Linked DNA regions of Callithrix jacchus. The protein of the gene in region 2 purifies or fractionates together with the protein of the main gene of each other region. This does not show direct contact. Links are inferred from orthologs where the notes say so. Each region holds a gene or a part of one and is shown on either strand. Other genes may lie near its edges.

Region 1 (4,131 bases), on a different chromosome or scaffold from region 2:
GACACTCATTAACTTTGAAAAACAACTTTTAAAAAAACCAGAGGGGGGAGGGGTGTTGGTTTGGAGAGTGGAAGGGGACAGAATATTAACCCTGAACTGAAACCACTTTTTGGTGGCGGATGTTCTATTAAAAGAGCGAGGAAAGCCAAGGTTATTCCAGAGGCCGCTCCAAAGCCTCGCTGGTGCTTTCCAGTGCCGAAGCTGCGAGCGCAATTAACCCCTGCCTGCCAGCCCTACAGCTTAGGGCCGCCCCGGGAGGGGACTTCGGGGACTGAACATGGGGATGCGGGGCTGGGCGTCGGACCGGGCTCCAGGGACGCTGGGGAGGGAGTGAAAGGGGAAGAGGGAGTAATTAGCATGAACCAGAGTGTGACCCCGGCTGCTAGAAAGCAGTAGAGGAAGCAAGGAGTGGAAATCCACGGCAAAGCAGTGAAGAGGGTATGGACCAGGGCAACGTAGGTTTCAAGGTTAGACTTAAAGAACGTACGCAGTTTGGGGCACAGAAATTCCACCCGTGCACCTCAAGAAGCAGGCAGGAGTGGCTGGTTTAATGGGCCACCTCGAACTTGGGAGGAATAAGGTGAAACCAAAAATTTGATGCAAAAGAAAAAAAATCCCTGATGAAACTAAACTGTTTTCCCCTTTTAAGGAATAAAAATGCCAAACGACCATACACCCACTAAGACAGCTGGCCATCTGTGCAAACTTGAATTGTTTTGTTCCCTTGGGCTTCCATAACGACGTCTAGGTTTTTCCTGCTAGAGCTGACCCCTAAAATTCCCCTGAGGAAATCCTACCTCTAGCTCATTTGAGCTAAGAAAAGCTCAGAGCACCAGAATGGGAATGATTAAAAATGGAATACTCGGTAATGGCAAGTTTGTAGCCAAAAATAATATCTAAAGGGGGAAATATGCCTACTATAATTTGGTTATAAAAGCAAAGATCATCCAACTGTGTACATGTAAAAGAATGTCTAGCGTACTAATGCTAACCCTACAATGAAATAGTGCAATTTCTATTTTCAATGTGATATAACCATCTCTCTTTTTTGAAATGAAATGATATCACCAAAAAAAGTATATAATGTAACTTCCCAACTAGGTTATTTGAATCAAAAAATAAACATGCGTTTAACTGTGAACGTATAGCTATGGATCTGTCAGGAGAAAGGTAATTTGATAATGAGTGGAGTTTGTATCACTTCCGAAGTGAAAAATGCTAACTGAATGAATTACATTTAACCCAATTGTTATTGGGCATACCATACTGTCAACACAGTGTTTATGTAGGATTCAGCATTACTACGAATTTTCTCACAAGACATACATGCAATTTTGAATCATAATAGGTAAATTTTTGACATTTCAACTATTTCCTTGAGCAGCAAACCGATATTAAACTTTTATTTGAAATATATACAATACAGAATAGTTTCCTGGTAAGTCTTTGAATTTTCTAAATGCAGTTTCTTTTCCTAACTCTGTCTACAATTCTTCCTAGATATCCGGATGCAAGGAAATCTGGCTAGGCTATAAAGTATCTTCTTTAGGCTTAATTTTTTTTGTGGCAAATCCATTATATTTTCTCAAAATGTATCAGATAAAGAGCGTGGGAAAAAATGAAGCAGAGGGTGAATATGAATGGCAAACTGCATTTTCAACTGTCAAAAATCTTGGGACAATGCGGGAGCGAGTGATCATTCTCTGACCCCCAAAAAAGAGGGGGCTCCTAGGGGACCATTTCTCTAGGAATCCATCTCTACCGTCCGCGTGAACGCTTCTGGAGCCCCTCCTGGGGGAGAGTGCGGTTCAAGGGAGGACAGTGTCACTGAAAAGATCTACACACGTTTTTCTTACCAAACAGTTTGGAGAGGGCACAAGTCCACCCCGGAGCCGCGTCCACTGGGCCCCGCGCCACCCTGCCCGCCCCCGCCGCCGCGTACCCGGCTCCAGTTCCCACGCGGCCGCCCGCCCCAGCCCGGATCCGGCTCCCCCCTGGCGCGGCCCCGGGGCCCCGGCCCTCCGCCCAGAGCGCGGCCCAGCAGCGCCGCAGCCACCGCCACCGCCACGCGGAGATCCCGGAGGTTCCTCCCCGCCGGCCGCCGGGTCACGCCGCCCGTCCCTCCCCTCGGTCCTCCGCCCTCCGCCCTCCACCCTCCACCCTCCACCCTCCACCCTCGGCGCGCTCCGGGCTTTCCCGTCCACCGGCCGAATCCCCTCCTCCTCGGGCGACAAAACCTTCTGGGCGACCCGGCGACAAAACCTTCTCCGCACACCCTGCCAACTCTGCCCCACGCCCAGGCTCTTCCCAAGTCAGGCGCCAGACAAAAGAACCCGGAGAAAAACTTACCCGAACTGCACCGCAAAAGTCTGATGCAAAGCTTCCTGGGTTTAACTTTTAATTTTAAAAACAACAAAAGCAGAAACCAAAAGCCTCCTAGGTTGGAAGTGGGCGTGAGAGGAAATGCTAGAGGGAGGCGCTTCATTCCCCGGGCTGCCGGTGCCCCCCTTTCTGGCCCCTGCCGGGGGCTTTGATGTTATCTAGTGCACCGCCTCCATCGCTTTCTACCTTGGGCTCGGCGCCGAGAAGATACACTGATCTTCCGCACTCCACCTGCAGGTTCCGAGAAAGGCGAGAAGGTAACCGCGGCTAAGGACCCACACTCCTTAGCCCCGCAGCGAGAGAGGAGCATTTGCACGGGCTTCCTGTTGCTACCTGGGCTGAAATGAACAATCCACCCCTCCAGTGATCCTGGAGACTTGCGCCATGTGGTCTTTCCTGCTAGACGCACAGAGGGAGGCCTCGTACTTTAGATTCGTTTTCCTCCACCCGAGCACAAACTTGTAAGATGGTGGTGGAGTATGTTTCCTGCGGTTTTGTTCGGGTTTTAGATCTCAGTTTGGAAGATAAATATTATTTTCCTTCTGAGACAGTCCTGCAACCTTGAAAAGACAAGAATAAATCTCTAAAGGCAACACATTCTATAACATGCTTTACATTCATCATAAATTCCCTTACGGGTCAGAGTATCCGCACACCCTCCCCATTACATTATGGAAAGCGTGTAACTTGATTTTCTCTTGCTTGGACACTAGCAGATACTGAATATAGTTTGTCATTAGGTTAGCAGTCTCGGGACCATCACTAACAAAGTACTACAAAGGATTTTTTTTTTAACAGATTGGTAGTAAAGGATGGCGCTGTCTAGCAATCAGCCTTACCTGTGACTACACTTTACACCAACAGAATCCTGCGTTCAGGCCTTGCCCTCTGGGAGATTACAAATTAATGGAGACAGGATAAACACAAGGAAAAATACCTAGAGGGAAAAAAGATATAAGAGGCTTATAAACAGAGCCAATTAAAGTTATACAGTTATTTACATGATCGCAGAGAAGCTTCTGCTTGAGTAGAGGACAGGGTGAGCAGAGTTCCATCCTGAGCGTGAGTTCTCAGTGGGATATTGAAGGAGAGAAAGTTCACAATTTGGCAGTGGTGTATGAACAGCATTACAGAGGAGGGAAATCTCTTGAAGGTGAGAGCAAGTGAACTGTGTGTGATGGTTTTTCCACCTAGAGCAGAAAGTCTCAGCAAATGAGATACAAGTAACACCCACACCAGGACACTTTCAAGAGTGAAAGGGAGAGTATTAATAATTATACTCGGATGAGAGATGTACACCTGGATTGCCCCGGGCCAATGGGAAGGGTGGGTTCTCTAGTAATGAGCTAGGACGACAGAATGGGCAGACAACAGGCAACCAGCAAAGAGCCTACTCAGTCATCATTTGGAAGGAATTAAGCCATGATATTACGAACAGTTGGTAGCCATTTGGAGACATCTGGCCTGAGAATGGTCTTTTTAAGGAAAGTGATTGTTACTGATGGATTTAGGGTCCATACGGAGGCTGGTTAGCAGTAGTAGTAATGGTAGTGGTCGTGACGAACAGTTATTGAGAGCTTACGACTTGCCAGGTTTTTCTGTATGAACTTATTTAATCCCCACCATAAACCCACACTGTAGATGAAGAAACAGAGGCTTAGAAATGCTGCATCGTTTCCTGCAAGCCACAAAGCTGGTAAATGATAAAGCCCTGATGGGGGAATCCAGAAAATAGTCAGATGCTCAAAG
Region 2 (4,165 bases):
AACATACTGGGATTACAGGTGTGGGCTACCGTGCCCAATCATCTTCCTTTCTTAAAATTGACTGAATAAACAGACATGCTATAGCAGGGTAAATGGCACCAAATGAATTTGTGACTTACTTAGATTCGTAAAGACTGTTACTGCACTGAAAGAGAATACCCAATCTCAAATTCTTCATTCTCTGTTTCTTTTATTAAAGTGTCATTCTGGTGACCCTCTTCTAGTTGACCTTTTGTAGAACAGCAGGCAAGGTCAATAACGAAAGTACTAAAATTAAAGAAAAAATTGGCTTCTCCCTATGGAAACTGATTCAAGATTTAATAACGTGTGGTGCCCCTAAAAGCTGCAACTATTACATGATCATCTCCAAATCCACTTTAACTCAACTAGGAGGCCATTATCAAAACATAACTCACTGGTACAAAGCAGAGATTAAGTAGCTAAGAATGTTCCTAGGCTGAAGTCTAACTGAGAGTAAAAGGGATGATCTCACAATGTCTCTTTATGTTTTGTAAATCACATTATTCAATAAATCTGACACAAGTGTGAGGATAAGGATTAAGAGTCAACCCTCGTCTGGGCGCAATGGCTCACGCCTGTAGTCCCAGAACTTTGGGAAGCCAAGGCGGTCAGGCCACAAGGATTGAGACCATCCTGATCAACATGGTGAAACCCAGTCTCTACTAAAAATACAAAAATTAGTTGGGCGTGGTCGTCCGCACCTGTAGTCTCAGCTACTCCGGAGGTTGCGGCAGAAGAATCGCTTAAACCCAGGAAGCAGAGGTTGCAGTGAGCCGAGATCATGCCACTGCACTCCAGCCTGGGTGACAGATCAAAACTAGGTCTCAAAAAAAAAAAAAAAAAAAAAAATCATCCCTCTAAGTAGAAAAACAAAAATAAGCAGTACTAGTTTTCTGACTTAAGTCTAGTAACTTTCACTTACTTCTAAAGTCCAATAAAACTTCAAGGTCTCTTCTTTATATTTAGAATTTTAACACTGGGCAGAAATCCAAGAACCTTCTTCAGGCTCAATAAAATTTTGTTAATGATACCCTTGAACTTTAATTAGGTGTTTTTGAAAACACTAATGCAAAATAAAGTTTTAGTAAATTTGACTAGTTTCTGAAGAAGTATTCCCTCTAAATGGGGCACTTTAAAAGCCTAAAATACAATTAAGTTAGTATCCATTTTTATTTGGATTTGTTATGGTATTTTAGGCAAATATACAAAATAACTATTTTTTAAGCAAAGGAGTAAGATTGGAGGGACAAGTCACAATACTTCTGAAATAGCAAGACTTGACTGCAAATAATATCCATGTCCCTAAGGCTACCTGTTAAAGTCTACGCATTCCATCACTCTTTAGTTGTAACCACAAAGGCTGGTTTTACACCTAGGATATACAAGAAGCATCAGATTAAAAGCATCAAATATCAGACTATACAAGTTTGCCATAGATAAGCATAGCAAAAAGAAAAGCGTGATACAAAGTTAGAGGTTCCAAGGGGTTTAAACACACCCACAAAATCCAATTTTTGCTCACACTGTGCTTCAACCTAAAACTGATGGGTAATCACAAATCCTGACTTACCACTGACTTATTCCCTACCTCCACCCTTTTTATCTCCTGAATTTCTCAACTGATCTCATCACTTCTTAAGGGTCTTTGCAACTCTCCACGGCCTTTCCTTTCCCAGAAAATGATACAAAGCACCTGGCCTCCACATTTTACATTCCCACAATTTAGCTTCAAATTTTGTTTTGCTTACTCGTTAGACATTCATTTTGCCCCCAATCTCCTGTACCCGTTTCCCTGACCAATCTTCCTCTTACTTTTCATCACCTTGCCCTTCCTACAGTATTTAGCTTCTCCTTTCAAAGTAGAGTATTTATCCTTCTCCCTGACATTTGTAATTCTAGTTTACTGTAAACATGCTCTTCCCCTCCCAGGGACTGTCATTATAGCCCTACGTTTTCATTCCCAGTCGTTATCTTCTTTAGTGAGGCCTCTTCCCTTCCAGAGTTTGTCAACATTAGTTTGGCCAAGCTGGGATTCCACCTTCAAGGCAAAGGATATTCTCCCTGCTCATTCTACAAAAGTATAAGCCTGTCACCAGCCCTAGCGTTCCCTCCTCCACCCTTAAATCCATCTATATCCAGCCCTGCCCGTTCCCCTCTACCCGTAAGATCTGTCTGCTCTCTATCCCGCACTCCCCCTCCCCAGTCCTGAATGCACCTCCTCCCCGGACCTTACTCGTACCCTGACACAGGAAAGGCCCAGGCAGCGGCCTCACGGCGCTTCTCCACAGAGCTCCCTCCGCTCTTCAGTAACTGTCCCCACGCCCCTTTCCCTCCAGGGCCCCGTGCGCAGCCAGGAGCCCCTTCCTCGATTAAGCTCCCGCTGTCACTTGGCCTCTCATCCACAAGATGGCGGAGCTGCTGCCCCCACCCCTGGGTTCGCTCCGCAATCCCCAGCCTCCTTTCCGGAGCTCCCATCCCGTCCCTCCAGCCGCCCTGCCGCCAGCCTCGGCCCAGGGTCCCGCTGCCCGGTCCGGCAGTAGGCTGGCGGCCCAGGCCCGAGCTCCAAAACGCCGCCAACGCCACCGCCTCCGCCATTCCCCCGCCTGCCCCGTCTCCTCACCATAAACTTGAGTGCTTTCTCTTGCAGCACCGCCTCGGCTGAGTCCATAATCGCCGAGGCCACTGGGTCCGCTCTCCGCCGGGGCCGCCCCTTTGGTGCCAGGCCGCAGCCAACGCAGCGCCCGGATCCCGCCTCCTCTTCCTTCCCCCCGCCCTCTCTTACCTCTCAGGCACAGGCTGATGGGGCCAAGAAGAATCAGCTTCTCAGTGGGCAGGCGAAAGCCCACTGGCTCACGGGATTAGTAGTTCTAAAGCTTCCCGAAGCAAAAACTGAGGCTATGCCGTGAACCGCAACTCCCACAGTTCACTGCGGTAGCGTTGCGGTTGCCGACGAGTCAGATTTAGATAACTTGCCCTCAAGCAGAGGAAATCGGCTGATGGGAATTGTAGTTTACAGCCTCTAAGGACGAAAAGGGGAGGGGCATGGGTGTCTCCGTGGTTACCGAGGGACGCCAGTAGCGGTTTGCCGGGCGTTTGATATCAAGATGGCGACCAACGCCTCACCTGTAGCCTAAATGCTAAGTAAAACTGTGAGAAGAATCAGGGGTCCTAGAGCCTGCCTAACTGTGGTTTTAGAGAGCTGAACGTCCCCAGATTTCATATATCTGGCGTCTGCGGAAGATTTGCGACCCAGAGGAGCTGGGCCAGTGGGCACCTGGCAGCAGCTCAAACACCAATGCAGCATTTCAAGGTCCTCCTAAGCTATTGCCACCCACACGTCTCCCGAGGAATCTTTTCTCTCCCACAGCATTTCAGGGCAAATAGAACTCGGCTCAGGAAATTCTTGGCGTTTAGAGCTCAAAAAGCACATAGCTTGTTATTGCTAACCCTGGGATGTAAGCCCTGCACTAAGGGTCAAACAGGTTCTTACAAAAGCCCTTTAACAGTGGAATATAATGGCCTCCAGCAAATAAAGCATATAAGTATTTTCTTTGGCCTTAAAAGATATAATATGAGTTTATTTTGGAAATTGGGTCTACCTTAGGAGGAAAAACTCTAGGGTTTAGTTGAAAGTGATTTAGGGCTGGGCACGGTGGCTCATGCCTGTAATCCCAGCACTTTGGGAGGCCGAGGCGAGTGGATCACCTGAGGTAAGGTGTTTGACACCAGCCTGGCCAACTCGGAGAAATGCCAGTCTCTACTAAAAATATAAAAATTAGCTGGGCTTGGTGGCACGCTCCTGTAATCCAAGCTACTCAGGAGGCTGAGGCATGAGAATTGCTTGAACTTGGGAGGCGGAAGTTGCTGTGTGTCGAGATCATGCCACTGCACTCCAGCCTGGGTGACAGAGCGAGACTCTGTCAAAAGAAAGAAAAAGAAAAAGAAAAGGGAGTTAGATTGTCACAGTCTTGACCAAAATATCTTAATTTATAAAATTAATGAACTAAGAAAATACTTTTTCACTTATGGGAAAAATCTGCATTTTAAACTATTTTATTCATTCATTCACCTCACAAATAGTAAGCCAAGAAATGGGGATTCATCACTACTTGGATGACAAAAATCTCAGACTTCACCACTATAC

What was found.
Region 1: the proteins of BTRC (region 2) and HIVEP1 purify together in Homo sapiens (affinity purification with mass spectrometry; 5 studies listed by BioGRID and IntAct, counting the BioPlex papers as one, with this or other methods). This does not show direct contact. The link is inferred for Callithrix jacchus from reciprocal best matches to the Homo sapiens genes BTRC and HIVEP1.

What each region holds. Positions count from the first base shown.
Region 1 is NC_133505.1:18,641,903-18,646,033, forward strand, and holds the start of HIVEP1 (zinc finger protein 40), read right to left. Parts: upstream 2,805-4,131; 5' UTR 2,716-2,804; exon of another isoform or gene 2,614-2,715; 5' UTR 2,350-2,613; intron 1-2,349.
Region 2 is NC_133513.1:94,307,481-94,311,645, reverse strand, and holds the start of BTRC (F-box/WD repeat-containing protein 1A), read right to left. Parts: upstream 2,809-4,165; 5' UTR 2,690-2,808; coding exon 2,642-2,689; intron 1-2,641. UniProt on the Homo sapiens protein: Substrate recognition component of a SCF (SKP1-CUL1-F-box protein) E3 ubiquitin-protein ligase complex which mediates the ubiquitination and subsequent proteasomal degradation of target proteins. Recognizes and binds to phosphorylated target proteins.